Diceros bicornis minor: one gene and its partners. The protein of the gene in region 2 purifies or fractionates together with the protein of the main gene of each other region. This does not show direct contact. Links are inferred from orthologs where the notes say so. Each region holds a gene or a part of one and is shown on either strand. Other genes may lie near its edges. The genes, in order: DNMT1, MTA1, HIC1 and BCL11A.

Region 1 (7,154 bases), on a different chromosome or scaffold from region 2:
AAGGCTGGCAGGCCTTTGAGTCTACTGTACACCAAGCTGCAGATACAATGAAGAAGGGAAACAAACCTTTACCAACTCCAGGGTGCAAAGGCAGCACATGGGGTGCACGGACATATTTCAACACCCTTCTCATTGTGGGGGAAGGGGACTGTCTTTCTGAGCACAGTCTTACGGATGAATGGACAGCAGCCAGCCTCACACTGGTCACTCTGCATGGTCTCAGGCCTCGAGAACCTCAGAGGAGGCCTGCGTGGCTTGTGAGGAGATGAGCACAAGACTGAGTCACGCAAGTGGACAGGGATTCCAGACTCCAGGTCAAGAGCACCAGGCAGCGTGCTGGGCGGGAAAAACCACCGGCTCCAACTCACGTTGTAAGAGGATCACAGTTTCCACTTATAGAAAACAGACCTCAGTGACAGCAGGAAGACTCTCGCTTCTTCTGTACAAATGATGGCGGCTTGGACAGAGTAAGAAACATCAAGTGGAGAAATGTGGCTTGTCCTCAAAAGCCTGATTTTCAGAAGACTGAGCGTATATAACACTTCCAAAAAGCAGTTCAAGACTTAAAAACCCAAACATTAAATACTTGCTAGTATCATTACGTATCTAATGGGACTCTGTGAGTTTTAAAAGATGCCATATAAACACAAGTTAGCAGAAGTGACAGAAACGCATACATGAGGACCAGGCCTCAATTTTGTTCCTAGAACACTCTACTGGACTTAGGTTCCTCTTATATTATAGATTACACTTGTCTAATTTTCGTGGGTCAAAAAGAGTTATACCTCCGTTTATGAATCTAAGTTTAAAGGAGTGATGAATGCCATGTTTATGTGTGTATTTTGTATGCTGAAATTCAAGATGTAAGAAAAGCTATCGAGGGTCATGTAAGCTGACCATTTCAACGTCTACCACATGGTCCAAGGCAGAAATCCACAACTCCATACCTACAGTAGGCAATTCTAGTTCCAAGTAAGATGGAAGCTAGAGTGAATGGTGGATTGCAAACCTAAGAACATTCAAATTCAGCCAAACAGAACACTGCTCCGGCCCAATAAAACCCGAGCTAGTGGGCTGTTCGAAACTCCTCGTTGAAGGGAAAGGCTCTGGCACGAAACAGACCTCAGCAGGAATTCCCGCTTCCTCCAAGTGGATGCCTGTGGCACCCACTCTTAAGGACTCTTGATTAAATGCGATAATGTAAAGTGTTTTATACAATCAGTGACTGATTCGCAGACCGGAAAGTAAGCTAAATTAGCTGATAACAATGCTAACACGTGGGCTTTCAGGTGCCAGGCATATTCTCATTTAATCCAATGCCAGTTTAAAGCCCATGTTGTCAGGCTGGCCCCGTGGCTTAGCGGTTAAGTGCGCGCCCTCCACTGCTGGCGACCTGGGTTCGGATCCGGGGCGTGCACCGACGCACTGCTTCTCTGGCCATGCTGAGGCCACGTCCCACATACAGCAACTAGAAGGATGTGCAGCTATGACATACAACTATCTACTGTGGCTTTGGGGGAAAAATAAATAAATAAAATTAAAGCCCATGTTGTCAATCTTAGCCCACAGCTGGGGCTTGTTTATGACACTTGTGCCCAAAGTCAAAAAAGCCAATGGAGGGAGCGTTCTCACCATCAGAGAAAGGAGGCTGGACCCCAACTTTTCTGTATTGGGTCTAAAATGAAGCCAGGGACTTCCATGATTCCATTTCCACTTTAAGTTACGTTATATCTTGGGGGGATCCAGATAGGGGTTCTTCAGCAAGACACATCCCCTCTAACTGTGGTGAAGAAGTGGTTGGAACCTTAAACACCCAGTAGGGAGACCCCCACACACACTCCACTTTGAAAAGCCCAAATCAGAACGGGCCTGGCACAGCCATAGAAAACAAGCACAGCGAAATGGCAAAAGCGGGGTCACCAATCCGCTTGGAAGTGTTCAGTCTTGGTCAAGGTTCCCGTGATCAGCGTTCCAAGCGAGGGGTACAAGTTTTCAGGACTGAAATGGGAGCCCTTCTAGAACAAGAAGGGGGGGCCCAATGGTCGTGCCACTGACCCATGTGCACGGCATTGCTTGAGCTGGTCCCCAACATCAGCGACCCCAAACTGCCCCCTAAATACACACACTGGAAAGTGCGGCCAGTTCTCCCCAGCAAGGCTTCCTTGATGCCCACGGCTCATGGGCACAGATTTACTAGAAAAGACCATGCAGCCTTCGCGCTGCCTGAGCCCTGGCCCTGCGCTGCACGGTACGAGTTCCTTCCAGAATGTGACTTCCCAGCAGTCCGAGACGATGGCGGGAGCCCCCCAAGGAAGACGGGGCTCGCAAACCTGAGCCGGCCGCGCCCGGGCCCCGACCGGCGACGTCCGTCTCTGGAAGCCGCCATCGGGATGCGCCGCGCGGGGGTGCCGAGGGGGCCCCCCGAAACGACCCCGGGGACCGGGCCGGCACGACCCCCCAGGAGGGCCGGGCACCGGAAGCGGAGGCCGAAGTGCCCTGCCGAGGGGTGTCCTGAGGCCGCGGGCTGCCCACTTCCTGTGCGACCAGGCTGGCGGCGGGAGCCCGGCCCGCGGCTGCTCCAGGAAGGGGACCCCCGAGGCGACCCCAACGCTTGCTCTACTTTGAGGTCAGAAGAGACCCCAAGTTCCTAGGCACCAGGGAGCTGTGAGGTGCCTCGGCCCATTTTGGCGCCAAACGGCCAGGGGCGCGCGCGACCGGAAGTGCCACCCTGCCCGCGCCAACCGCCGCCGCGCGCCGCGCCACCCCGCGCATGCGCGCCCGTCTGTCAGCGGCGGCCACAGGCTACCCGGCGGGGAAGCGACCCCCCCCAGCGCTGTGCCACCCCCCGCGTTCGCGGGCCCCCGTGGCACTTACCGCCTGCGGACATCGTCGGGCAGTGAGAAGGCCCGGGAGGCCAGCGCGGGCACCCGGGCTGGGGCGGTGCGGGCAGGCATCTTGGAAACTGCAGCAGAGGCGGCAGCAGCACAGACAGCCCTGGCTTTTCGCGCGCGCGGAAACCGACGGGGAGGGGCGGCGAGCGGAGGCGGCGCGTACCACCTCGGCCTGGGCGTGGGGGAAGGCGGGACGTACCACGCGGAGAGAGGCCGTACCATGTGCGGCCGGACGTAGTGGAGCGGGACGTGCGCGGGGGCTGCGCATGCGCGAGTCAGGCGCACACCCCCGCGCGGAGCAGTGGGTTCGTCCAAGCTCCGCCGTTTGCCGAGAGCCTTGCCCGAGACATTCATTCATTCATTCTTTCCCGCAGGCTGGGGATAAAACGGGGAGCATTCCCACGAGATTCAAGCCTGTGGGCTTTTGAGTTAAAGTCCTCAGTTCCAACCCCACCACCACCTGTTTGCTCACTCTAACGACCTTGGGAGGGTCATTTGGACCCAGCCTCAGTTTCCTCATCTGTAAAAAGGGGCTAATACCACCTACTCCAGAAAAGCTTGAGGCTGCACAGAATATGTAGCTAGCACCAAGGATCTCACAGTGTGGGGAAGCCCGGACCACTTCCACATCCTGTGTATTTAAAAAAGTACTAGAACTTGGGGAAAGGCTAGTCCGTTTAACAAATGGTGTTGGGAAAACAGGATATCCAAATGCTAAAGAATGAAATTGGACCCTTACTTTACACTATATACAAAAACTCAAAATGGATTAGACCTAAGCATAAGACCTGAAATGACAGAACTCCTAGAAGAAAACATGGAAATGCTTCACAACAATGAATTTGGCCGTGATTTCATGGATATGACACCAAAAGCACAGGCAACAGAAGCTAAAATAGACAAATGGGGCTACAAACTAAAAATCTGCACAGCAAAGGAAACAATCGACAAAGTGAAAAAGTAACCTATAGAATGGGAAAAAATATTTGTAAACCATTTATCTGATAAGGGATTAATATCCAGAATATATAAAGAACTCTTACAACTCAACAATAAGGCAAATAACCTGGTTTAAAATGGGCAAATAATTTGAATAGACATTTCTCCCAAGATACACAGACGGCCAACAAGTTTATGAAAAGATGCTCAAGTTAAGTCATCATCCGGGAAATGCAAATCAAAACCACAATGAGCTATCCCCCTTACGCCTATTAGCATGGCCATGATCAAAAGAATGAAATAGGCATCGGCGAGAATGTGGAGATTAAGACCCACATGCACTGTTGGTGGGGATGTAAAATGGTGCAGCTGCTATAGAAAAATGTGGGGGTTCCTCAAAAAATTAAAAATAGAATTATTGGGGCCGGCCGGTGGCTTAGCGGTTAAGTGCGCACGCTTCGCTACTGGCGGCCTGGGTTCGGATCCCGGGTGGGTGCGCACCGACGCACCGCTTCTCCGGCGATGCTGAGGCCGCGTCCCACATACAGCAACTAGAAGGATGTGCAGCTATGACATACAACTATCTACTGGGGCTTTGGGGAAAAAAAAAAAAAAAAAGGAGGATTGGCAATAGATATTAGCTCAGGGCCGGTCTTCCTCAGCAAAAAGAGGAGGATTGGCATGGATGTTAGCTCAGGGCTGATCTTCCTCACAAAAAAATTAATAGCTATTAATTTAATATGGAATCAGCACTTATGTACTGTACCAGGCTCTTAAGAGTTATTTAATTTCATCCTTAACAAGCATAAAGGGGGGGGGTGTCAGGACCCCATTTCCCATGGCCTAGGATATTTGTCACAAAGGAGTCTGGCTCAGAGGCTGCTAACCCAAGATCATAGACTCAGTAAGCAGCAGGGACCATGAATCCTGGTGTCTTGAGCTCCAGAGCCTGAATGCGAAAGAGAAACCCCAGGGTTGGCCAGCTGTCAGGCCCCTGGGAGGCCAAAGGGACAGCATTGAGGGAACCGGGCTGAGGATGGGGACAGATAGAAGAGAGTCTGGCCAGAGTGAGGCTCAGGACCCGTAGACCTGCTGGAAACCAGCATCTGGGCCCCTAAGCTGCCTTAGGAAGAGGGGTGCTCACAGGATGGGGGAGAGAGGGGACACAGACAAGCAGACCTGCTTGTCAGGGCCTCAGCTCTCGGAAGAGCAGCTGCATGTAGTGGCAGGATGTCCTCTCAGGCGGATCTTCTTTGTGATCCCTTTGTCAAGGGATGATTCGACCCATTTTACAGATGGGGCAAGGGCTCAGCGACATCAAAATTTGCCCCACTTGGTGCCAACGTTGCTGATCTGCTCTCAAGGTGCTGCTTCAGACCATCTCTAATTCCTCTCCTCCCCTCACATGCAAGAGGTGAGCAATCTCTGTTGGTTCCTCCTCTAAAATACAACCCGGGTCTTTCTGCTTATCCGCTCTGCTGCCTCCTCAGAGATTCCATCATCACTCCATCACTTGCCTGGACTGTTCTAGTAGCCTCTTCCCTGGTCTCCCAGACTACAGCATCCAGAGAGCTTTAAAAAAAAAGGGGGGTGGGGGGACATATCCTTCTTCTCTTCTCTTCCCCACTAAAACCTTGCAAAACTTCTCATTGCCCTTCAAATAAAATCTAAGCATTTTACTCTATTTACAGGGTCCTTCCTGGATGCATCTCATCCCGCTACCACCACCACCTCACTGAGCTCCAGCTTCTTGATTCACTTTTAGTCTTTCAAGCTCTTATGTGCCCCAGGGCCTTTGCTTCACTTCTGCCCAGACCACTCTTCTGGGAGATTCACACAGTTCCAAGGTTGCCTCTACTCAGAGGCTTCCCCCTGACCTCTCACTCTGGCCTATTACCCTGCTCCTTCATAGAGTTTACCACTGTCAGAGAGTTTCTTATTTACTGTCATCATAGTATGTCTATTTCACTAGAGCAGAGCAGGGGTCTGCACATTTTTTCTCTAAAGGATCAGTAAATATTTTAGGTTTTGTAGGCCACACGTTCTCTGTTGCAACTCCTCAATGCTGCCATTGTAGCATGAAAACAGCCATAGACAGTCAACGAATAGGTATGGCCGTGTTCCAATAAAACTTTATTTACAACAACAGATGGTGGGCCGGATTTAGCTTATGGGCCTTAGCATGCTGACCCCTGCAAAGACTACGAGCTCCAGAGGGCAAGGACCTGGTCTGCCTCGTTCACAGCTGGCCCTCCAAGGGCTCACTCCGTAGGAATCCAAAGATTGGTTGAATATATAGGACGTAGGAGGTGGCAAGCAGGTGCCTGATGTACAGTGAAGATGCAAAGGTTGGTGGGTATGAAGCTATTTTCTCCCCCACAACAATGGATTTCCATTTCACAAACAGGGAAACTGAGGCCCAAATCAGAGAAGGTTGCAAAGCCTCGTTTGTCTCTAGTCCTTGAGTCATCCACTTCACTCAATTCACCTGACCACTAGAAATGTCAGCCAGAGCCATGGGGAGAGGGATGCTGATGGCTTCCGGGAGCCTCCAGAGTGACTGGTTGGACCACCAGAGACCTCCACCTAGAAATGGGCTCATCCCTTGAGAGAAGGGACTGGAAATTCCAGAAGCAGCCAGGTTCAGCTCTCAGGTGCATTTACTCCACCTCCACCTGTTGGTCTCTAAAGTAGTGTTCATGAACCCCTGACATGAGACTTGTCAGGCCCACCTCCCTGCTTCCCAGGCCGTATTCCAGCCTCCAGCTGGAGGGCCACACTCCAGGGGCCAGGAAAGGCTAGGTGTCAGCCCCGAGCACCAGGGCTAGTGGAGAGATGGCCACATGTCCTGGGCCACAGTCAGTCAGAAAGCCAGAGCTGAGTCATGCCACATGCTGGGGCATTAGTCACGGCAACTGAGCTCTCGCTTGGTGCCAGGACCAAAGGAGGCCCCAGATGGCGGCAGCAGCACTCAAGGGTTCGATGGGGACACTTTGCCACTCTCGCCCCAGGCAGGGGCCAGGCAGGAAGACCAGCAGGGCAGGCTTCGCAAGCTCCCTCTCTGGGCTCAAGTGACCAGGAATCAGATCTGGGGAAACCAACTCTGGGGTGTGCTGGGTGGACCTGCCTGCTCCTTGTAGAGCACTTAAGCAGGCTGATGGCTTTCTGTACGGGACCACAAGAGACTTGCTGCCAAGCCCGGTGGGTTTTCCCTTCAAACAGCCCTTGAGTGAGTTAGCTGATCTGCCCCTCCAGGGCCACTGCCCCAGCCCAGGTCACCCTCAAGTCTCTCCTGGACACCCCCCCAGCCTCCTTCTTGAGCTG
Region 2 (6,864 bases):
AGACCTGGAGGACGTGTGGACACCCAGCCCCTCCAACCGTGCTCCACTGCCATCTGAGGAGTCTCTGTGCCTGTTTCCTCATGTCCCCACGTCAGTGTGTGCCGGCACGTGCAGATGGGCGACCATTTGCTCCTGTTCCAGCTGAGGAGGCCAGCTGCCCATTCTCCCGCAGGCCCTGTGGCTTGGGCAAGCTGGGAGCAGGGCCCCGCCAACGAGGCGCCTGCAGAGGCATAAGCTCCGGCAGTGCAGTGGCCTCACAGGATGTCCCAGTCGCTTCCCCTGCCCCTGCCACCTCCAGATCTGGCCCCAGAACTTCCAGGAGCTGCCAGATCACTCCAACCAGCCTGACATGCTCAGGCTGGGACACAGGCACCCCTCCGACTCTCCTTGTCCTGGTGGTGGTGGTAGATGCCACAGGGAGAGGCCCTTGGCAAGCATGGCCAAGGGGTCAGGTTCAGCTGCAGCTAAGTCTGACCCTTGTGGGTCAGCACTTGACCTTCCCACCCCATCCTGCCTGGTCCCAAGAATCCCAAGCCACACTGTCACAAAGCCTGAGGTCTAAGAAAGCAGCTTCTTGAGGGCTGGCTTCACAGAGGCACAGCAAGGGCCCCCTCGCCAGCACAAGTAACAACGGGTGCTTCCGGGAGAGGGGCTGCTCCAGAGAGGAGCTCAGTAGCTGCTCTGCAGGAATCAAGGGAAGAGGCCCAGGGAGGAAGGAGCTGCAGGTCCAGGGGCTCCGCTGACCCTGCATCGTTGTGGCCATGTCCACGGACGAGGAAGGGACACGCCTGCCCTCTCCCCCAGCGCCACCCACGAACACCTCCAACCACGAGGCCAGCAGGAGAGGAGGGGAGGCAGCTCACACCTCTGGGTCGGAGGGAGACTGCTCATTCCCACTGGCCAGGAGGATGCGACAGGCTCTGACCAAAGACGGAGGCCATTCTGAATCCGAGAGATGGGGGAGTAGCGGGGCTCGCAACCCGTCAGCCCACTCCCACTGCATCCCAGGCCCCAGGTGGGCTCTGGGCTCACCCAGCCTCCAGTACAGCACAACCCCCTTCCCTGACCAACTTGCAAGTGCCTGACGAGTGACGGGGAGGAGGGCGGCCCAAGTAAGCAGGGAGGGAGACAGGAGACAAGCAGGGAACCCCTAGGCACATGGATCCCACAGGCACCCTCGGGCTATGGTTGCCCAGGCCGCTTCCTTGGCTCTTTGGCTGGTCTCCAGAATCGTCCAATCCAGACGCTTTCTGAGCACTTCTGTTCTGCTCAGGCACCCCCTGAGCATGTCCCTCAAGTGAGGCCACCAGGGACCTCACTAATGGGCTCTCCAAGGAGGAGCACCCAGTCTAGGCAGGTGATCCTGGGGACGAAGCCACCCAAAGGTCTGAGCAGACAGTGGCCAGTCTGGGGCCAACCCAAGAAGTCCCCTGCAAACACGGCACAGAGGCTGGGGGCGTGTTTTGTCTCATCTGTGACGATGGCCCCAGGCAGAGCCGCAGGAAGGGCAGGGGCACGCTGCCCCCCCCCGCCCCCGCAACCGGCAGGGACGGGACCACCAGGCACACCGCACACACACACGCTACCTTGTTGAGCTCCTCGATTCTCCGGATCAGGTAAGGGTTGCTGGAGGAGTTCTCGAAGTACACATAGTCTGCAAACAGGTACAGAGAGAGCGTCATCCCACAGCAGAGCCTGCCACACTCAGAATTTCCCACCGCCCCAGGGACCCAGGGGAGCCCAAATACCCCCCTCCACTCCCTCGTACCCTCGGTTCTGGGGGCTAGGGATCAGGAGGGAATGAAGGAGGTGAAGGCCCCACTGTCTCAGGGGAGAGATGACATAACCAGAACCACATCAGTGGGTGCTGGGCAAGGGCCCGAGACGAGGCAGGAGGGGGCCGCTCCAGGCAGGAGCCAGCAGCCCTCCCCATCCCGTGGGTCCCAACACCAGGAGCTCTGTCCCTCCCAAGAGAGGCCATGGGGGCCAGGCTGCAGCCTCCCCCTGAGGACACTGTCCCCTAGGACACCTTCCCCCTGGGGACACTTTCCCAGGAGGCTGCTGCTGGCCTGGAGGGTAGCCCAAGAGTGCTGCAGCCAGAGACCATGCCAGCACACTGGGGGCTGCTGGATCCCTGTGTCTCCTCCCCCAACTCCATGCACATCCCCCCATGCCCCTCGACCTTTCCCTCCAAAAACAAAAGCAGTGAACGGAGGCTGGGCCTCCGGGGCAGAGGGAGGACAGAAACCAGGCAGAGCTTGCTAGCACAGGGACATTGTCAGTCTCCCAGAGGAGCGAGATCAAAGGGTGCCGACAGCACCCTGATGGGTCCCCTAGACCATCAGGTCAGTACAAACTTTCCTCACAGACAAACCACATGTGCTCTCTGGCTTCCCACAGGCTCCATAGGGGGAGAGTCAGGGTCTGGCTTAGGGATGCTGGCAGTCTCCCGAGATTTCTGAGAGGTCCACAGTGGGAGGTCAGGAGGCTCACCCTGGAAACCCCAGGACAGCCACGAGGCCACCCACCTGCCAGCCTGGCTTGCCCAGCCGACGCCTTTATGCTCCAGGCATACTGGAGCAGCTCAGGGGAGGCTCAGCTCCAGGAGCAGGCCAAGCCATTGTCCCTGCCAACCTGCACCAGGAATGCGAAGGCCTTCTTCACCACGTCCCTCCCCACCCATGGAGGAGGCCTGCAGTCGCAGGCTGGGCCAGCCCTGCAGGAGACGGCCAACCAGGAGGCTCCTCTTAGCTGGAATTCAGTTAAAGCCTGGATATGGCCCAAATGCCCACAACTGGGCACAGATTTGGCAAACTGCAGTAAGACCAGCAAATGCCGAAGGAGCCAGCTCAGCCCTGTCCACATGGGAGGTCCCACCTGTGCTGCCTGGACCCTGTGGAGGGGTCTGAAAAAGCATCTGCCTCCTGCTGTCGACACGCACCTGCAGGTACACACCTATGAGGACACACCTGCAGGCTCATATCTGTGGGTGCACGCACCTGTGAGGATACACCTGTGGGGACACATCCATGGGGCACACACCTGTGAGGACACACCTGTGAGGACACACCTGTGAGGATGCACCTGCAGGTTCACACCTGTGGGTGCACAAGGTTGTGAGGATACACCTGTAGGGACACACTTACGGGTGCACACCTGTGAGGATGCACCTGCAGGCACGCACCTAGGGGGCACACATCTGTGAACGTTACTCCCCGGGCTCACCTGTGCTGCCCTGAGGACACGGGTAGATCAGACATGCTGCGCCCTCAGGGAGCTCCACGGAACAAAAGAGCAACGAGACTAAACACCCAGAGTGAGCCTAGCCGCAGCCCTCAGCGGGCCATGTTCAGAGGTCAGCTGAAAACAAAGGCGTCTACAGAAGATGACTGTCGATGGGCACGAGGTTTGTTTTAGGGTGATGGGAATGTTCTGAATTTAGATTGTGGTGATGCTGTACAACTCATGAAAATACTAAAACTCATTGAACTGTACAAGCAAAATGGGTGAATTTTATCAAATGAAAATTATCTCAATAAAGTGGTTTTTATAAAAAGATCTCAAATCAATCATCTAAGCTTTCATTCTAAGAAACTACATAAAGAGCAAATTAAACCTCAAATAATTATTCATATGTGCCAAAAACTGCAAACAACCCAAATGTTCCCCTCAAGTGGGGAGCAGACAGACCAGCAGCGGGTCCGTCCGTCCAATGGCTGCCTCCTTGGCAGTGCCAGCTGAAGTCCTGCTGGTCACACTGTGCTCGGATGACACTCGAGGGTGCTCTCCTGGGCTGCGGGTGGCGCAGTGCCTGCCCAGGAAAGCCAGAGGGCAGAGAAGAGGCCAGCGGCTGCAGGTGGCAGGAGGGGTGACCACTCGGGCCTGCAGGGCTTGGAGACAGGAACTGGGCTGTCTCATGACTGTAGACATTTCCCAAAACTCACAGAACTGCACACTTACAAGGAGAGGGCTTTACTGTATGCCAATTGCGTTTCTGTAAATGGGAAAACAAACAAGCCAGAAGGAAATCATAACCAGCAAAAACCAAGGCCAGGGCCAGCCCCGTGGCCTAGTGGTTAAGATCGGCTTGCTCCGCTTTGGCGGCCCGGGTTTGATTTCCAGGCATGGACCTACACCACTTGAACCTTCCTCAGCAAAAAAAGAAAAAACGAAGGTGAGTAAAACGCAGTGGTGACAAATTAATGGGACCAAAGCTGCTCACTGAAACAATCAATCGACGAATTTCAGGTCAGGCTGATAAGGAAAAGAGAGAAGCCACACATAACCAACACCAGGAATGCGAGAGGGGACATCACTGCACATCCTGCTGCCGTGAGAAGGGCAGGAAGGGACGTACAGACAGCTTTACCAGTCAATCTGACAACGTGGATGAAATGGACCAAGTGCTTGCAAGACATGAAGGACCAAAGCTCACCCAGGAAGAAACAGGCCACCCCACACCGAGCAGGGAAGCTGATTCATACACTAAAACCTCCCAACAACAACCAAAAAGAAAAAGAAAGACACAAAAAAACCTCCGGGCCCAGATGGCTTCACTGGGCAATCCTACCAAGCATTTAAGAAAGATTTAACACCAAGTCTACACCAACCCTCCCAAAGGCAGAAGGGGAGGGAACACTCCCCGACTGGCTCACGAGGCCAGCATCACACCGACACCGCAACCAAAGATGTCACCAGAAACCCACAGACCAACGCCCCTCATGAACACAGATGCAAAACTTCTCAACAAAACATTAGCAAATCGAAGCTAGTAACATATAAAAAAGGATAATAAATCTCCACCCCTGGATTCATCCAGGAATACAAGGTTGGTTCAACACTGAAAATCACGTCAACAGACTAAAGAACCATGACCGTCTCAATAGACACTGGAGAAGATCTGACAAAATCCAACACATATTCCTGATACAAACTCTTCCCCCCCCCCGCAAAGCCCCAGTAGATAGTTGTACGTCATAGGTGCACATCCTTCTAGTTGCTGTATGTGGGACTCAGCCTCAGCATGGCCAGAGAAGCAGCATGTTGGTGCGCACCCGGGATCTGAACCCCGGGCTGCCAGTAGTGGAGCGCGCGCACTTAACCGCTACGCCACGGGGCTGGCCCCCTGATACAAACTCTTAAGCAAACCAGGAATTAAAGGGAACTTCCTCAACCTGATAGAAGGCATTTACAAAAAACCTACAGCTAACGTCACACTTAATGATGAAACACTTCCCCCTAAAATCAGGAGAAGGCAAATATGTCGACTGTCTCCACTGCTGTTCACCTAGAAGTCCCAGTCAGTGCAAGGAGGAGAAATAAACAAGGAAATGAACAGCATGCAGATTGGAAAGGAACAGGCAAAACTTTCTACAAGCAGATAACATGGCTGTCTACACAGAACTTCTCAGTCTACAAAAAAAGCTATTAAAACTAAAGAGTAAGGATTCAGCAAGCTCATAGGATACTAAAATAGTATATAAAAAGTACCATTTACAATAGCTCCAAGACACATCCCACACTTAAGCATCAGTTTACAAATGGTCCACAGATCTTTAAAGATCAAAAGTTCTGTGCAAAGACCTATATGCTGGAAATTACAAAACACTGGTCAGAAAAATCAATGAAGATCTCAATAAACAGTAACATAAGGTACCATGGATTAGAACACAGGTTGTCAAACCTTTTCGGTAAAGGGCCAGATGGTAAATACTTTACCAAGGATACCATGTAGGTACTAATACAACACATTGCCACAAACTTTTTACTGATGAAATTAAATTAAAACAATAATAATCAAGTAAAGGTGTCTAATAATATGGGTCTACTAATAAGAACTGAATCCTGTTCTGGGGGGAGGACATTTTGCTTCCTTGGAGTTCAAAGTTAGCATTGGCTGTCATCAAAATCAATGGGAAATGCTCCCCTGTGCATGCTGATCTGTGATGCGATCTCATGTGTTTCATCCGTGAACGTCTTTCCACGCAGATGGGTGCTGCCAAATACTGGTATCTAACTACAGGTATACAGTTTTAATGGAGCATACTCATCACTTGGAAGGTATTTACTGAACTCCATTAGATTTTTCTCTGGACATTTTCCTTTTAGCCTATGTGCAGTAAAGGGTTAATTCAACTGGCCTGGGTTGTCCACACTCTGCACCTTCCAAAGTAAGGTTTGGCCCTTGACCTGCTCCTGGGAGGTAACCTCAAAGCCCTTGGAGTGTCCTGCCTGATAAGAGTCTCTGCTGACCAGGGGACATAACCTCTGGAGGGCTAGAGACTGGGCAACTAAGGCCAGCCACAGATGGTCAGCCACGACTATGTGACCAACCTGAGATAAACAACCTGGACCCTGAGGCTCAGGTAAGCAAACTTCGTGTATACTGTCACTCATGGTGGCTGAGAGAATTATGCACCGTCCACAACTCCACCGGGCGAGGCCAACTGGAAGCTTGCAACTGGTCTCTCCTGGACACTGACCTCCGTGCTTCTTACTTTTGCTGATTTGGGTCTGTACCCTTTTGTTGTAATAAACTGTAACCATGAGTATAATTGCTTTGCTGAGTTCTGTGAGTCCTTCCAGCAAATTATTGAACTTGAGGATGGTCCTGGGGACCATGAACTGTAGCATGCAATTGCATTACAGATCAATCACTCTCAAATGAAGGTTGGGTGGGAGCTCCTCAACACTGTTAAATGCATTTTGAAATACAGAAATTTCCTTTGCACTTGCACTGAGGTCCAGGAAGCACTGCTGGAACTGTAGTTTGAGCTCAGGAAATACGCCTGCTGCAAATCTGGCCGGAATGGAGGTCGCATTTCTCGTTTTGACTTTTGACAGTAAGGAAACTGTATAAAGCAA
Region 3 (7,881 bases), on a different chromosome or scaffold from region 2:
CCCCGCCCCCGCTTCCTCCTGCTCCAGGTCACCCCCATACCGGGCTGGCAATGCGCGGCGCGGCGCGTGGGCGTGCTGCGGGGCGACCATGGCTGTAGACTGTTACCTCCGGTTCCCACAGTAACAATCGAAAGCCACGGTTGCCCTGGAGACGCGGGGGCGGGGCGCGCACTACTGACGGCATCGCGGCAGCTCCAGTCAGGCTGACGTCAGGACCGCGGGGTGGTGGGGGGCGGTGGCGGGGCGGGCGGGGGGCGGCGCGCGCGGCGGGGACCGGGCGCGGGACTGCTCGGGGGCTGTGCGATGTGCCTGTGGGCCGGCCGCCCCCCTCAGCCCCTGGGGACCAGCAACAGGACGACCCGATGGCGGCGCCTGAGCTAGATCAGCACCGCGGACAGCGGCGGCGTGGGCAGCGAGCGCGGGACTGGGAGACCCCGGGGACAGAGGGGCCGGGGGCGCGGCAGGCGGCCGGGTCCGCGGTCCTGGGGCGGGGCCAGGCGTCGGTGGCCGTGACTGGAGACTGTTACTGAGGGCGGCCCGGGCAGTAAGCAGTCTAGAGCCAAGGTGCCGGCGCGCTGCCCGGGCGGGAGTGCCTCTGTCGCCCGCAGCTGGGGGCGCTGCTGCTCTTCCTCCCCCGCGTCTCCCGCCCTTCTCCGCCCCGGCGCTCGCGGACAGGCACGCGGCCCTTGACGTCAAAGCCCTGTGACGTCAAAGATGTCCCTGCGGAGAGGCACTTCCGGCGGCAGGGCGGGGGGGGGGGCGTCGGTGGGGGTGGGGCGGGGCCGTCGGGCCGAGGCCCCGCCCCCGCCTGGTCCTGAGAGGACAGCTCCTCGCGCAGAGGCGGGAAGTCGGAGGCGCTGAGGGACCAGCCCGACGGGACAGGGTGGGGAGGGGGCGCCCCGGCTGAATGCGGGGCGGGAGTCCCGAGAGAGCTGCGGCCCGGGTGGCGGGAAGGTGGGCGTCTGTCCCTGGCCGGGGCCCCGGCTCAGCCGGCCAGGGGCAGCGAGGCTGAGTCACCGTGCTGCGGGGAGGAGGAGGAGGGGGCGCCAGCACCTTCGCCCCACTTTCTTGGGAGAATGGCGCAGGAGCGCCAGGAAAAGCCGCGGGGACTCTGGGGTCCGTCCTCTGTTCGATGCTCCTCCGAAGTGGCTGCGTCTCCATCCAGGAGCGGGCAGGTGCTGCACGGAGTTCCGTGTACGCCTCCGGCCCGGCTCCACCAGCTGCGAGGGGACCCTCGGCCCCCACCCTGTCCCCAACCCCAGCCCCGTAGAGGCCCTCCAACCTGCTGCTTGCTGGTCTCCTCCTTGCCCTCCTGTCCGTGTCCGTGCATCGGTCCATCTGTCTCCCGTCGGTCGGTCATTCCCGCTTACCTGTCGAGCCGCGTCGCGCCCGCGCCCGCGCCCGCGCCCGCTCGCCTCCCGCAGCCCGGCTGGCGCGGCGGCTTTTATAGGAGCGCGTAGTACTCGTGCGGCGGCTCATTCATGCGGCCGCGGCTCCTACACACTGACGCGCTGCCGACGTCAGCAGGGAATTTAGGAAACGGGAAGAGGGGCTATTTATAGTGGTGAGGCGAGGAGGGAGAGTGGTGGGGACCGAGGCGACAGGGGGCTGAGAGGGGGAAGAGGGCGCACGGAAGCAGGAACGGGGAGGGGGAGCCCGCGCCCCCTGTGCCGGTCTACCAGGGGTTAATTTTCCGGAACTGCGGGCTGGGGGCCGGGGGAAGGATAGTGCTGGGATGCGGGGAGGGCGGACGGGTCCGTTACATGTTTATTCACTCTGGGACACCTAGGGGCGCAACCCCATCCCGCCCGCCTTTCAGAGGTCCTCACCAGGTAGCCCCCATTCCCATTCCTCACTTCCTGGACCCGACCGCTCTGTGAAGTCACAAGATGCCCCGCAGCGGCGTTGTACAGCAGGGCCACTGCGGGGGGCAGGAGAGGAAGCTGGACCCGCGGAGGGGCCTACGGCAGCATCTAGAGATGTGGCGTCGGGGAGATGGGGAAGAAGAGTGGGGGAGCCCAAGGGTCCCGGAAGGCTTTGTAGGAGGAGGCTGGGCCTGGGAGGGAAGGCCCAATGGGGGTCCAGGTACCAGTCAGAAGTTGGAGACCCAAAGGAAGGCAGAAAAGTTGAGGAGGTGGCTTGGACTCCCCAGAAATGAACAAGGGGGTCCTCTATGGGACAGTTGGGAAAAAGGTGGCAGGAGAAGGGGGCGAGAGGAAGAGGCAGCCTCATCAAGTGGAGGGGAGGAGGACAGGTTGGCAGTGCCATTTTCAGAGCCTAGCACGAAGCAGACCGCGTTTAGGACCCATTTGTGGAATAATGGGAACTGGCAGAGCTCAGATAAGGATGATAACGAGTGAAGGAGACCAAAGGCTCAGCAGCTTGGCAGAGTGGGGTCTCCAGGGGGCGGCGGGGCAGAGACCACTTCCTGGAGGAGTTACAGTTCTTGGAGATCACAACTGGCAGGAAGGGCCCACACCATGTAGTCAGAGTTCCCCTGGACGGGAGCAGGGAAATGAACGACCCTGGCTTAGCCTAGCTCCATCAATTGAGGAAGTCTCCAAATGGGGAAGGGGGAGAGTGTGCAGATTGAGGAGCTGGACTGGGGTGAGGAGGGGTCAGCACCAGCCAGGGCAGGTGGAACTAGGGAAGGAGGGAAAGGTCAAAGTTTGAAGAAGGGAGAGGTCCATAGGAGGGCAGCTAGGCTGGAGGAAGTTCTGTGAGACCCTCCCATACAGATGTAAGGACAGCTTGAGGGTAGGGGCTGGGGCAGTGAGTTAACTTGGGGAGAGTGTTGAAGAAAAACAAAGACAGTGGGCACAGCGGACCCTAGGGTAGGTTCACAGTGGACAGACTCAACCGCACAAAAGAGACGTGGGGCTGAGGGGCTCCTTGTGGGGCTAGGATCTGGCCCCATCAAGAGGATGAAAGACTACAGCAGAAATGGGGTCAGAGAGGTCATGCACACTTTGGGATCTGGCCTTCTAGAGTTCCCATTTTTTTTTGTATCCAGTCTTTGTCCCAGTGGTTCTCATCTCCAAGGAATGCCTTCCTGCCTGGGGGAAGAACTCCTATTCATCCATCAAAGCCCGGCTCTAAGAGCGCTTCTTCTGAGGAGCCTTCTAGTCTCCCCCCAGCACTCCATACATTTTTCCACCTCAACGCACCACATGTCCCTCCGCCAAGATGTGGGGGTCCGTCTCTCCTAGAGGCCGGCAGCCCCGGAGCCCACAATTTTCATTCTTGGAACCTCACTACTTCTCTAGTGAGGAGACCGTGGGGAGACAGAGGAGAGGACTGGGATAAGACGGATCCAGAACACGTAGTAGAAACAGGGTGAGGGCAGACTCAAGACACGAGGGGAGTCAGAAGGTCCCGCGGGGACCAGGAACCGCCGCCTGGCCCCAAGGCCATGAAGTCGCCTGCGGAGGAAAGTGAGCCTCTGGGGGGCGCCTGAGACCTTGGTGTCTGTCAGCGACCGCGAGTGGCTGCGCTGGCAGCCCCTCAATGAATGACTCAGCCACTACCTCTGGCGGGGGCGTGGGGGCGGAGGACCGCAGCCGGGCGGCGAGCGCGGCCCCCACCTGCCCCGCGGCCCTGCTAGTTGCTAAGCTCTTCAAGGCCTTGGAGAGACGCGATCTGGGCGAACCTCATCGGTTACTATGGTAACTGAGCCCCAGCCTCTCGCGCGCGGCGGCTGAGGGAGGAGCAGCCAATCAGAAGCCGCAGGCGTTCTCGGGGACCCACTCCCACCCCCAACGTGTGGGCGGGGGTCAGGAGGTGCGAGGAGGAGGCGGAGCGTGGGCTGCGGCGACCCCGCGCTCTCTACAGGCCCGTTGCAGCGGCGGGGCCGGGCGCTGACACTTCCGGAGTAGCCTTGCGAGTGTCCGATCGCCAGTGCGGGGTCCCCTCCCTCCGAGAAGGGGCGTCACTTGCAAGAACCCGGCCTTTACGTGGGGGTGCGGGACCTTGCGGGGGATCCCGGGCTGCAGGCCCTCCTGTCACGGGTCTCTCGCGTCGGTGGGTTGCAGACGAGGTGGCCCAGGCATGTCCCTCGGAACGGCTCACACGGGGAATCTGGGGGCTGGGGTCGCTTCTGCGGGACCCCCAAGAGGCGCTGTCCAGCCATTCCCTGTCGAATATCCTGGGGTCCTTCCAGAGACCTGCAAGTTCAGGGCGGGCTGTTTGGGTACCACGTCTGCCCAGGTCCACGGAGAGTCCTACGTGGCAGCCCCCGGAATGTCCCAGAAAGCCAGGGCTTGGACTCCGGAAGGGGGCAGGTGTGTTCTGTGCAAACAGGCGTGCCCGCAGGTGTCAATGCCTGGAGACGGTCTGGGTGCAAACGGGTTTATTCTGTGCATACCTAACCCATGTGGCTGAGTGAGGGTGGATGTGTTGGGGTGGTGGGTACAAATGGACAGTTCCATCTAGGAATGTCTAGGGAGAGTCACCTAAGATCTTGTCTACCTTCTTCTCCCTTAGGATTTCCGTAACCTCCTTCCCACCATCTACTGTCACCAGAGTCCCCTCCTTGCGGGCAGGACTTCTCTGAATAGAAATATGTAAATGGGAGCGTTCAGCTCAAAACCCCAGGGTTTGTGGGACTCGCAGGTCCGGGGCCTGGGTCCCCAAGTGGGCACATCTGGGGGAGTGAACCTGCGAATAGGCCCCCCTCCCAGGTCCAGCTCCGCAACTACGAGCCTCCAATTCAGGTACGCGGGAGGGAGGTCGCGGCTGTGCCGCGCAAAGCCCTTCGCGGCCGCGAGGTGGCGCCATAGCTGCAGCAGCGCCCCCCGGACCGGGCAGCTCCAGATAAGAGTGTGCGGAAAGCGCGGCGGGGCTGAGACGCGACCAGGACGCGGGGAGGACGGACCAGCAAGACAGACCGACCGGGGGCCCGGCGGGCGGAGGGCAGCGCAGCGCAGCCACGTCCCCCCTGGATCCGCTGGCAGCCGGGCCCGGGGCTTCCGACATGCCCCCCAGGTGGGTCCTGGGGCTGGGGACCAGGAGGGACAGAGGACCCGGAGAGCCCGGTCCTCGCGCCCTGGCCGCCTCGGGCGCATCCTCCGGCGCGGGCGCCCCAGCGCGGCTGGCTTTCAGGGCTCGGGGTGTCGCCCCTAGAGGACTCAGGACCTCTGGGCCGCTGCTCTGCGCCGGGTTCACGGCGGGGTCAGCGGCCCGGGGCCGGCTCTGCCCGCACATGGGCTGAAGAGGCTAGGGGAAGGGAAGGGGAGCTGGCGGGCGGGGCTGGCAGGGGCGCTGCCCTGGCACAGCTCGGCGCCTGGCAGCGGGGCGGGTGGGGCCCTGGCTAGGACTGCCACCGCCTCGGGGAGGGAAGCCCGGTCGGGCTGCGGCCGCAGGTAACGGGCCGCGAGGCCCTGCGGGCCAGGCGGGGAACAGAGTCGGGCGGGCGAGCGGGCGGGCCGGGGAGCTCAGGGATCGGCTCAGGCCCTGCGACCGCCTGGCTGCCGAAATTGGGAGCCGAGAGGAAAAGCTGGGAGCCAAGGGACCGGGGCTGGCGCGCTCCTCCTGGCCTGTCTGAAGTTGGGAAACTTTTCCCCAAGTTTGGGACGGCGGAGTTCCCGTGGAGAAGGGGCCGAGGAGAGCTGGGGAGGGAGGCGCCGGGCCCGCGAATGCAGAGCAGAGGCCGAGGCCCGGGGCCGGGACGCGGGTGGGGCGCAGGCCGGGGTCAGGGCCGCAGCCGGCTGCGCGCCGTGCCCGCCCGGGGCGCTGCCCCCTCCCTCCCCTGGGAACTGCGTGGCTCCCCCCTCCCCCCCACCTGCTTCCTGCCTCAGCCTCCTGCCCCGATATAACGCCCTCCCCGCGCCGGGGCCCGGCCTTCGAGCTCTGCCCAGCAAGGCAGCCGCTGCCTCCTCTCCCCGCGCCGCGGCTGCCGCCCGGGCCCCAAATGAGGGCCTGACAGCCCCGGCCAGGGCGGCGCCACGGCGGGCACCGCGCTCCCCTCCTCCGGATCACTTCCCCCAGCTGGGGCAACTTCTCCCGAGGCGGGAGGTGCTTTTTACTCGACTCCCTTACATCCCACTTAGGCAAACTTCTCGGCCCTGAATGACTTTTCCTGAAGCGGACATTTTCCTCAAATCGGGTAACTGTCTCCTAAAGGGTCACTTCGCCCGAACAGTTTTTTCCTCGGAAGCCCCCACAAGCCAGCCTGTCTGCCGGGCGGCATCCGGGCCCAAAGGTGCAGGCCCACCCGGCCTTCTCTCCACTAGCCACTCTCCTGCTCCTTCTTCTGGGCCAGCCGGCCCGCCCAGGCTCCCACACTCGGAGGCTGCCGATCCTCCGCCAGTGCCCAGGCCGCGGTGCTGATGCCCCGGCCTAGCCGAGGGGAAGGGGAAGTGGAGGGGAGAAGCACCGGGCTGGGTCCAGGCAGCAAGGGCTCCCTGCGGCTCTGACCCAGCTGGTGTGTGTCCCCGCAGGAGATTGTGCTGGGCAGACGATGCTGGACACGATGGAGGCGCCCGGCCACTCGAGGCAGCTGCTGCTGCAGCTCAACAACCAGCGCACCAAGGGCTTCTTGTGCGACGTGATCATCGTGGTGCAGAACGCCCTCTTCCGCGCGCACAAGAACGTGCTGGCGGCCAGCAGCGCCTACCTCAAGTCCCTGGTGGTGCACGACAACCTGCTCAACCTGGACCATGACATGGTGAGCCCGGCCGTGTTCCGCCTGGTGCTGGACTTCATCTACACCGGACGCCTGGCTGATGGCGCGGAGGCGGCGGCGGCGGCCGTGGCCCCGGGGGCCGAGCCGAGCCTGGGCGCCGTGCTGGCCGCTGCCAGCTACCTGCAGATCCCCGACCTCGTGGCGCTGTGCAAGAAGCGCCTCAAGCGCCACGGCAAGTACTGCCACCTGCGGGGCGGCAGCGGCGGTGGTGGCGGCTATGCACCCTACGGGCGGCCGGGCCGGGGCCTAAGGGCCGCCACACCCGTCATCCAGGCCTGCTACTCGTCCCCAGCCGGGCCTCCGCCGCCGCCCGCCGCCGAGCCGCCGTCGGGCCCCGAAGCCGCCGTGAACACGCACTGCGCCGAGCTGTACGCCTCAGGCCCCGGCCCGGCCGCTGCCCTCTGCGCCCCGGAGCGCCGCTGCTCCCCGCTCTGCGGCCTGGACCTGTCCAAGAAAAGCCCGCCGGGCTCCGCGCCTTCCGAGCGGCCGCCGGGCGAACGCGAACTGCCCCCGCGCCCAGACAGCCCTCCCAGCGCCGGCCCCGCAGCCTACAAGGAGCCGCCGCTGGCCCTGCCGCCGCTGCCGCCGCTGCCCTTCCAGAAGCTGGAGGAGGCCGTCCCGCCTCCGGACCCGTTCCGTGGCGGCGGCGCCAGCCCGGGACCCGAGCCCCCCGGCCGCCCCGACGGGCCCAGCCTCCTCTACCGCTGGATGAAGCATGAGCCAGGCCTGGGCAGCTACGGTGACGAGCTGGGCCGGGAGCGCGGCTCCCCCGGCGAGCGCTGCGAGGAGCGCGGCGGGGACCCGGCCGCTTCGCCTGGGGGGCCCCCGCTAGGCCTGGGGCCGCCGCCGCGCTACCCGGGCGGCTTGGACGGGCCTGGCGCGGGCGGCGACGGCGACGACTACAAGAGCAGTAGCGAGGAGACGGGCAGCAGCGAGGATCCCAGCCCGCCCGGCGGCCACCTCGAGGGCTACCCATGCCCGCACTTGGCTTACGGCGAGCCTGAGAGCTTCGGTGACAACCTGTACGTGTGCATCCCGTGCGGCAAGGGCTTCCCCAGCTCGGAGCAGCTGAATGCGCACGTGGAGGCTCACGTGGAGGAGGAGGAGGCGCTGTATGGCAGGGCCGAGGCGGCTGAAGTAGCTGCCGGGGCTGCCGGCCTAGGGCCCCCTTTTGGAGGCGGTGGGGACAAGGTCGCTGG
Region 4 (7,247 bases), on a different chromosome or scaffold from region 2:
CTTTAAGTCTATCAAGGTGTTTCCCCCTAAAGGCAGACAGTGAATATTTTATTTTAATCTTGTAGTTTCCATCGAGACAGACCTTTTAACCCTTCCTTCTCCTGCTCAGCCCGAGTCCCCGCGCCAGGCGATCCTCGGCTCGAGGGCTGGGACTGTGTGAAGTCTCCTTCCTGGAGCTGTTTGTTGACCACATTCACGTTCAGAGCCCTGGAGCTAAAAGCACTTTACACCATAAAATAAAAGCACTGTCTTTTTTTCGAAAAGGTTACGTCTGGAGGCCACGCGGCTCATACTTCATACCGAAAACTACTGAAAGGACTATGAAATCCTCTATGATTTACACTCTCTCACTGCATTAGGGTATAGATCTACTCGACTCTAAAAATACGGTGGGTTTCTAACCGACGTGAATATATGTGCATTATTTCAGAAAGTCTGTTAGAAAACTTGTCAACACATTATAAAGCATAAACCAGGACTTGGCTATTAAGTACGGAGATCAGAGGCAGAATACATACTGCAGGAAGTCCTGGGGAGTCTCCTCCGCGGGCAAGATAAAAAGGGGGAGGAGGGGAGGGGAGGGGTCGTCTGTCGGCCTGGAGTTTACACGCAGTGTCGTCACTAAAGGTTGGGGAAAGAGCCCACCGAGCGTAATTACCCCTTCAGTGGAATCAGCCAAGGTTCGACAGCTCCAAATGAAGTTAACTGAACGGCCAGAAAATTTTAACGCTGTCATAATTTATTACTTTCTAAAAGCCACTTTTGGAAAGGTAAATATACTTATTGTGTATCCAAGTGTGCGCGTTTAAAGTGACCTTTCACCCCTCGACAAAACCACCTGCATCATTAATCAATACTTATGTAATATTTTAAGCCTCTTAAAACAACATATTTTTATTTCTTTAAACACACGTACAAACCCTCCCCCTCCCCCACTTTGGGGCGCTTTAGCGAGCATCCAGCAGCAATGAGGGAGGGGGCGTCGCTCGTAGGGGCGAGCACGAGGGACCGGGAGTGGGGGTCCCGGAGCAGGAGGATCAAATGCCGATACACAGCCCTGGTTTTCTGGACTGGGTGAAATCAGGCTGGGGGAGGGGCGTGAGCGGAGGGCAGCTACTATTTCACTCTGGGCATTTTATGATGGTGAAATTAAATATATGTTAATGGTGGAAACGTCGCTGCGTACCTCGGCATTGGCACCCGGGGAAAGCAGCTGCAAAACTGAGTTTTTAATGTGTGTTTTAAGATGTGGTTTTGGAAGGAACCCCCTGGAATCTGAAACAAGTGCAATAACATAGCAGACCTACTTGTAACTAAGTGCTTAATTTCCTATGATTTTTTAAAAAAGAAAATCAATAAAATGTTGCCAGTTATTTATTGGAAATAACCACAGATAGCGGCCCTGATAGGGTGCCGGTTTTAGAGAGCACACAATTGTGTAATGAATTGTAATTCAGAAGACTGTTAAATGTGAACCACAGAACCTTTCAGAGGTAATAAAGTCATTACTTTTTACACTACAGCCAACTCTGAAAAGCTTTATACACACCATTGTATATAAATCATACATATATATTTCCACAACACACATTCGCCCATTTATACACCTTCTCTATATATGGACTTTTATGGATGGATGGGAAAAATATTTAAATTTGAAAAGCTCAGTTCTGAAAGAATCTGACTTACTATTGTTACCTGAAGGGGCTTTTGTTTTATTTATTTATTTTTCAAAGGCCTCCCAGTTGCACTTTCTTCTCTCTCTTCACCTTTCCTCCAACCATTCTCCTCCAAGTCTCATCCCCCGCCCCCCCCCCGCCAGCCCCCCCACCCCCCGCAATGACATTCTTTTGGTCACTCTAAGGCTAGTTTAACAAGACAAAAAAATAGACGGTAGTGGAAGAGAGATGCTGACCTGCTCTGAAGAACTCATGAAAAAGGGGAAATGGTGCAACGCACAAGCTACAGAGCTTTACTGCAAGTGCATCTTCCTGCCTCTTAAACAGGATTTGAGTCCCCCCCCCTTAAACTGGAGGGAAACAATAACAACAAACCACATTTACACAAACCCAGTTCAGCCCACATCTCTCCTAACGCTGAGCATCAAAACCTCCTTTTCTTACTTAGAGGGGCCCGAAGCTTCGCCGAGCCAGGCAAGCCAGTCATTTTCTAATAGGCTTGAAACTTTACTAAGACAACACATGAATAAACAGCCGCTTGCCGGCGCGGCTGGGAGGTGGGTGCGCGCGTGCAAGCCGGGGCCCTCGCTTAAGACAATAAAGCCCCCCGCCCGGTGGGTGAATTTACGAAAAAGAGGTCCCTTAGACTGAGGAGGGGGAAGAGAAGACACGAGGGGTTGTGGAGCCGCTTGGAGGAGAGGGAAGGAAGGCTCCTCGCTCTGCAGACACACACTCACACACGTCCACCTGCAGCTCGGAGTCTCGCGGGCCGCGGCGACCCGCCTCCACCCTGCACCCTCCGCTCCTCCCTTGGACTTGAGTCCGTTTTCCTCTCCCCCCTGCCCTTCCGGATTTGGAATCGCAGCGTGGTCTCGGCGGCGGTGGTGGCGGCTGAGGCTACAGGGTGGTGCAGGCAGGCAGGGAGGCTGGGAGGCGGGAGACGCCGGGGGACTTTGCAGGCACGTTTCTGAATAAACTTTCCAATCGCAGGGGGTGCTGTTGCTGTACATTTTACGTAAAACTGAAAGTATCCCACGCCAGAGTGAAGCCCGCTTTTTGACAGCGGCAGCGTGTGTGTGTGCGCGCGTGTGTGCATTAAAGAGACAGGGGTTTATTTCCAACAGGTCTTCCCTAATTTCCCGCGAACCTCTGCGGAAAGGCTAGGGGAGGCTTCGGGCTCCAGAGTGGGCGCCTTGACCCGGGGCGCCTGGGGAGCGCGGCGCTGACCCAGGGCGGTCACCCCACCACCGTGGCCTCCCCGCTGCTCCTGCGAGCCAGTCGCGTTCTCTCCATTCCCCATTTTCTTTCCCCACGTAACAGCACAGTAATAGTTGTGCTCTACCAGTAAGAAACATTTTCTTTCCATTCCTCTGCGCGTTTGCAGTTGCTTAGGAGTGGGAGGGGGTGTGTCCTTCCCTGGGACCCGGCTCGGGGACCTCCCGCAGCGCCGGGAGCACGTTCCCAGGGACTGGAACTCCCAGGACTGCCCGTGCTTTGTCCTCTGGCCCGCGGTCCCTCGGTGAGGTGGACGCCTCGGCGCCTCCTTCGCCTCGGGCCCTGGCGCTCCCCTCCGAGTGCCCCGGGTCTGGCTCCTCGTTTCTGTATTCCTTGGCCTCTCTCTCTTTCTGCGACCCTTGGGAGCCTCGACTCTGTGCTTCCAGTTGCATTCAGACCCAATCGCTTGTTGGGGCGCTCAGATCCCCGGCCCCCCGGCTCGGCATTGGGGGCGCCCTCTCGGCCCTCCCGCTCGGGCCTGCACCGCTTCCCTCGCCTTCGCCCCCTCTCTCCAGGCCGCCCGGGCTCCAGGAGGCCCCGGCGCTGCCCTTCCGGACCCCAACCCTCCAAACTTGGGCTGGACTCCGCTTAGCCGCGCGCTCCCTCCCGCCTCCCCTCACCCGCGGCGGAGCTGTAACTTGGAGGCTCCGCTCTCAACTTCGGGTGATTTTTCTTTGCTAGCCTCTCCTCGGGCAAAGTTTCCGGAGCGCAGCCGCGGGCTCAAGGCTTTCACTTCGGCCCCGGCGGCCGCACGCGGGGAGCGAGCGCGGCCGCGGCGGCGGTGAGGGGAAGTGGGTGTGCGCAAGGAGGAGGGTGTCCGGGAGCAACTCTACCTGGCTTCCCTCCGCCCGCGCTTCCCCGGCCCGGGGCTGCAGCCTCCCTGTACGCTCTTGCCTTTTTTTTTTTTTAAATAATCTTTCATTTTAGGGTTGGCGTGCGGGGGTGGTGGTGCAGGGTGCACATCTTGCTCCCCCCACCCTCGCTGCCCCTTTCTTTTCTCCCCGCCACGCCGCCGCCTCTGCGCTCGCTGCGGCCACTGGTGAGCCCGCGGCCCCAGCGCCCCCTCCCCTCCGCCCGCCCCTCCCCCGGGGGCCGCGTCTGGCGTCTGCAGAGCCCCCCGCCCCGCACCTCCCCCGCCCCGCACTGGCCATTGGCTTGTCCTGGTCTCTTTTTCATGTCCAGCCCCTGATGTGTGTCCATTGGTGTGAGCTTCCCCTTCCCTCCTCCCCTTCTCTCCTGCTCGCCCTGCCCATGTTTTGTGTGTCTCTGTCCATCCAGACTCCTGACGTTCAAGTTCGCAGGGACGTCACGTCCGCACTTGAACTTGCAGCTCAGGGGGGCTTTTGCCATTTTTTTCATCTCTCTCTCTCTCTCTCCCTCTATCTTTCCTCTCTCTTTTTTTTTTTTGCTTAAAAAAAAGCCATGACGGCTCTCCCACAATTCATCTTCCCTGCGCCATCTTTGTATTATTTCTAATTTATTTTGGATGTCAAAAGGCACTGATGAAGATATTTTCTCTGGAGTCTCCTTCTTTCTAACCCGGCTCTCCCGATGTGAACCGAGCCGTCGTCCGCCCGCCGCCGCCGCCGCCGCCGCCGCCCGCCCCGCAGCCCACCATGTCTCGCCGCAAGCAAGGCAAACCCCAGCACTTAAGCAAACGGGAATTCTCGCGTAAGTAACCCAATAATAGTAATAATAATTATTAATAATCACGAGAGCGCGCAGGACGAGAAGCAAGAGCGAGGGGGAGAGAGGGGTGTGTGCATGCATTTAAAAAATTTTTCAGGAGAAAAACCTCCGAGAGTCGGGATAAAAGAGATTAAAGGGAGGAAAAAAAAACCCCCAAACCTCATCCCATCCCGAACCATAGCCGTATGTACACTTTGGAATTGCACGCACCTTTTAATTTTATTTAATTTTACAAAAATTTGACTCCTCCTCTTTCTTGCTTTCCGCTGCTTTATTTCGCTTTTCGGAAAGGAATGCAATGATTTCCCCTCCAATTTTGCAAAATAATGAACAATGCTATGGATGCGAACAACTCTCCTGCAAACCTGGGGGAGGGACCTGGAGGGGAAAGGGGGGTTGCTTCCACTCGACGAAGGAAGGAAAACGGGGAGTGGGGGAGCAGGGAGCCCAAGCCTAAAAAACAATTTCCAGGGAGAAAAGAGGTGAGACTGGCCCTCGGACACGAGCGCGCTCACGGTCAAGTGTGCACTGGGAGAAAGTAGTCATCTCCACAATAGTGAGAAAGTGGGATTGTGGGAGGGGGCCCCCGGCGCTCTGGAGTCCGCCGAGTCTGGAGAGGTGCCGCGGCGGCAGGGAGAGCCGGGCGACCGCGAAGGACGGGAGACGCGGCCGGCGCTGCCGCCTTTTGTTCCGGCCTGAGGTGGGTGTTTGTCCCGCTGCCTTTTGTGCCGGCTCCTCGCGCTTGCCCTCCCGCGCCGCCGCCGCCGAAGGGCAGGAGCAAGGGCCGGGGGCGAGCGGGAGAGGGAGGGAGGGCGCCTGGGCCGCCGCCGCCCGGGTTGCGGCTGCCTGCCCCTCCCGGCCGAACCTCAGTGGCGGCGAGAAGAAGTGCAAAATAAAATAAAATAAAAATAAAACAAGGCAAGAGAAGGTAAAATTTCTTGCCCCAAACCAGAAGCCAAACGCTCCTCCGGCGGTTTTCTGCAACGCTCTCCTTTTTGAGTCCCCCACCCCCCCTGCAAAAATCTCACAATCTCTACCGGAGTTAAAAAAAAATACGATTACCCCCTTCCCCAAAACCCTTTTAGTTGCAAACTTAGAGCGCCGGCGGCACGGAGAGGGAGCGAGGAACTCCCTCCTCTTACTATTTTTTGGAAGATTTTCAAAAAAAGTGGAAGTGGATTTTGATTGGGAAAAATCTCGTGTCTGAATGTTTACAAGCACCGCGTGTGCGGGAGCCTGCTGCCAACAAACAGACAGAGGACCGAGCGCGGCGCGGCAGCCCGGGAGCGGGCGGCGGCGGCGGCCGGGCCTCGCCGGGGCCTCGCCGCGCCCCCGCCCCGCCCGGGATCGCCCACTCGGCGCCCGGCGCCCGCCCGCCGGCACAGCAGCAGGCCGTGCCGCGACTCCGCGCCAGCCGGGTCCATGGTTCCCTCTCGCCCACAGCACAATGCCCAGACCTCCTCCCCGCCAACCCGACTGCGAAGTCGGCTGGGGAGAAACTCGGCTTTGCAAAGCATTTTTATTTTGCAAAGCAACTGAAAAAGCGTGTTCTGCGCCCCCCCCTCTCCGCTCCCCCGGATTCTTGTCCACAGCTCAGGACTGCGGGGAGGTCACCACGTGCTTTCCCTGCCCCCCTCCCACCCGGCCTTGCCACCAGCCCCCGACTCCCGAGCGCAGCCAGGCCAGGTGGGGGGAGAGCTGTGTGTGGGGGAGTGGGCAGGGGAGTAGTACGTTCTAGTATGCGTTTTGGGAATGCTAAATCCCGGGACTCTGCGCACCCCACCTTGAGTTCTTGCCCTCCACCCGGGGCCTGGCTCAGTCGGGGTGGGGGGGCTCCTTGTGAATCTATATAAGGGGGTGTGTGTGACTGTCTCCTGGCTAACAGAGTGCGCCTGGAAAGGTGGACAGTGGGCACTTAGGAAAGTTTGGCAGCAAGAGAAAGAAAAGCGTGAGAGGGCCCACATCCTTTCCCCACCTCATTCATGACCCTTATTTTAATTTTTGATGCAATTTTAAAGGACCACCTATACCCAGTTCTGTATTTTTTAAAGGGGTGGGGAGTGCGCACAGAGAATTGAATTTTTCACTGAGACCTGGAACTTGTCACACACTTCGGAAGTTCCCCCGCCCCGGCACGTTGCGGGGCCCTCCCTCTCCCCACCCCCGCGCATCCCTCCCTCGCCGCTCTCCCCCGCCCCCCACTCCCCCGGCCGCGCCGGATGCGGAGCAGACGCGGCGCGCAGCGGTGTGAAGTTACAGCCCGGCCAGGTACCGGCGGGAAGGATGGGCAGTGTTCGCAGGACTCGGGAAAGCCGGGCCCTTCTTCGGAAGGATGCATTGGGGGCTCAAAGGACAGACAGGCTTGCAGTCCAGGCTGCTCCCCGACCCCCCCGCCCCCATCCCGGGGTCTATCTCGGGACACTCCAGTCTGGGTGGGTTAGCCCCTCTCCCCCGGTTTCAGTGAGGGCTTTGTGTTAAGGGGCCGGTTTGGAGAGGTTGCGGGGTCGCTCCTTTCTCATTTTCTGGGTGCACAGAGGGGGCGGGAGCCATTCCAGTCTTCAGGACCCCCTCACCCCCCATCCTCCGCTTCTTGGGATGAATGAG

The links.
Region 1: the proteins of MTA1 (region 2) and DNMT1 purify together in Homo sapiens (affinity purification with western blotting; 4 studies listed by BioGRID and IntAct, with this or other methods). This does not show direct contact. The link is inferred for Diceros bicornis minor from reciprocal best matches to the Homo sapiens genes MTA1 and DNMT1.
Region 3: the proteins of MTA1 (region 2) and HIC1 purify together in Homo sapiens (affinity purification with western blotting; 3 studies listed by BioGRID). This does not show direct contact. The link is inferred for Diceros bicornis minor from reciprocal best matches to the Homo sapiens genes MTA1 and HIC1.
Region 4: the proteins of MTA1 (region 2) and BCL11A purify together in Homo sapiens (affinity purification with mass spectrometry; 4 studies listed by BioGRID and IntAct, counting the BioPlex papers as one, with this or other methods). This does not show direct contact. The link is inferred for Diceros bicornis minor from reciprocal best matches to the Homo sapiens genes MTA1 and BCL11A.

What each region holds. Positions count from the first base shown.
Region 1 is NC_080769.1:8,952,963-8,960,116, reverse strand, and holds the start of DNMT1 (DNA (cytosine-5)-methyltransferase 1), read right to left. Parts: upstream 3,001-7,154; 5' UTR 2,955-3,000; coding exon 2,875-2,954; intron 2,664-2,874; exon of another isoform or gene 2,387-2,663; coding exon of another isoform or gene 2,331-2,386; intron 1-2,330. UniProt on the Homo sapiens protein: Methylates CpG residues. Preferentially methylates hemimethylated DNA. Associates with DNA replication sites in S phase maintaining the methylation pattern in the newly synthesized strand, that is essential for epigenetic inheritance.
Region 2 is NC_080763.1:49,836,517-49,843,380, reverse strand, and holds the start of MTA1 (metastasis-associated protein MTA1), read right to left. Parts: upstream 3,000-6,864; 5' UTR 2,982-2,999; coding exon 2,942-2,981; intron 1,698-2,941; exon of another isoform or gene 1,683-1,697; coding exon of another isoform or gene 1,655-1,682; coding exon 1,587-1,654; intron 1-1,586. UniProt on the Homo sapiens protein: Transcriptional coregulator which can act as both a transcriptional corepressor and coactivator. Acts as a component of the histone deacetylase NuRD complex which participates in the remodeling of chromatin.
Region 3 is NC_080757.1:15,773,369-15,781,249, reverse strand, and holds the start of HIC1 (hypermethylated in cancer 1 protein), read left to right. Parts: upstream 1-4,864; 5' UTR 4,865-4,983; intron 4,984-6,437; 5' UTR 6,438-6,457; coding exon 6,458-7,881. UniProt on the Homo sapiens protein: Transcriptional repressor. Recognizes and binds to the consensus sequence '5-[CG]NG[CG]GGGCA[CA]CC-3'. May act as a tumor suppressor. Involved in development of head, face, limbs and ventral body wall.
Region 4 is NC_080751.1:26,591,425-26,598,671, forward strand, and holds the start of BCL11A (B-cell lymphoma/leukemia 11A), read left to right. Parts: upstream 1-4,242; 5' UTR 4,243-4,570; coding exon 4,571-4,625; intron 4,626-7,247. UniProt on the Homo sapiens protein: Transcription factor. Associated with the BAF SWI/SNF chromatin remodeling complex. Binds to the 5'-TGACCA-3' sequence motif in regulatory regions of target genes, including a distal promoter of the HBG1 hemoglobin subunit gamma-1 gene.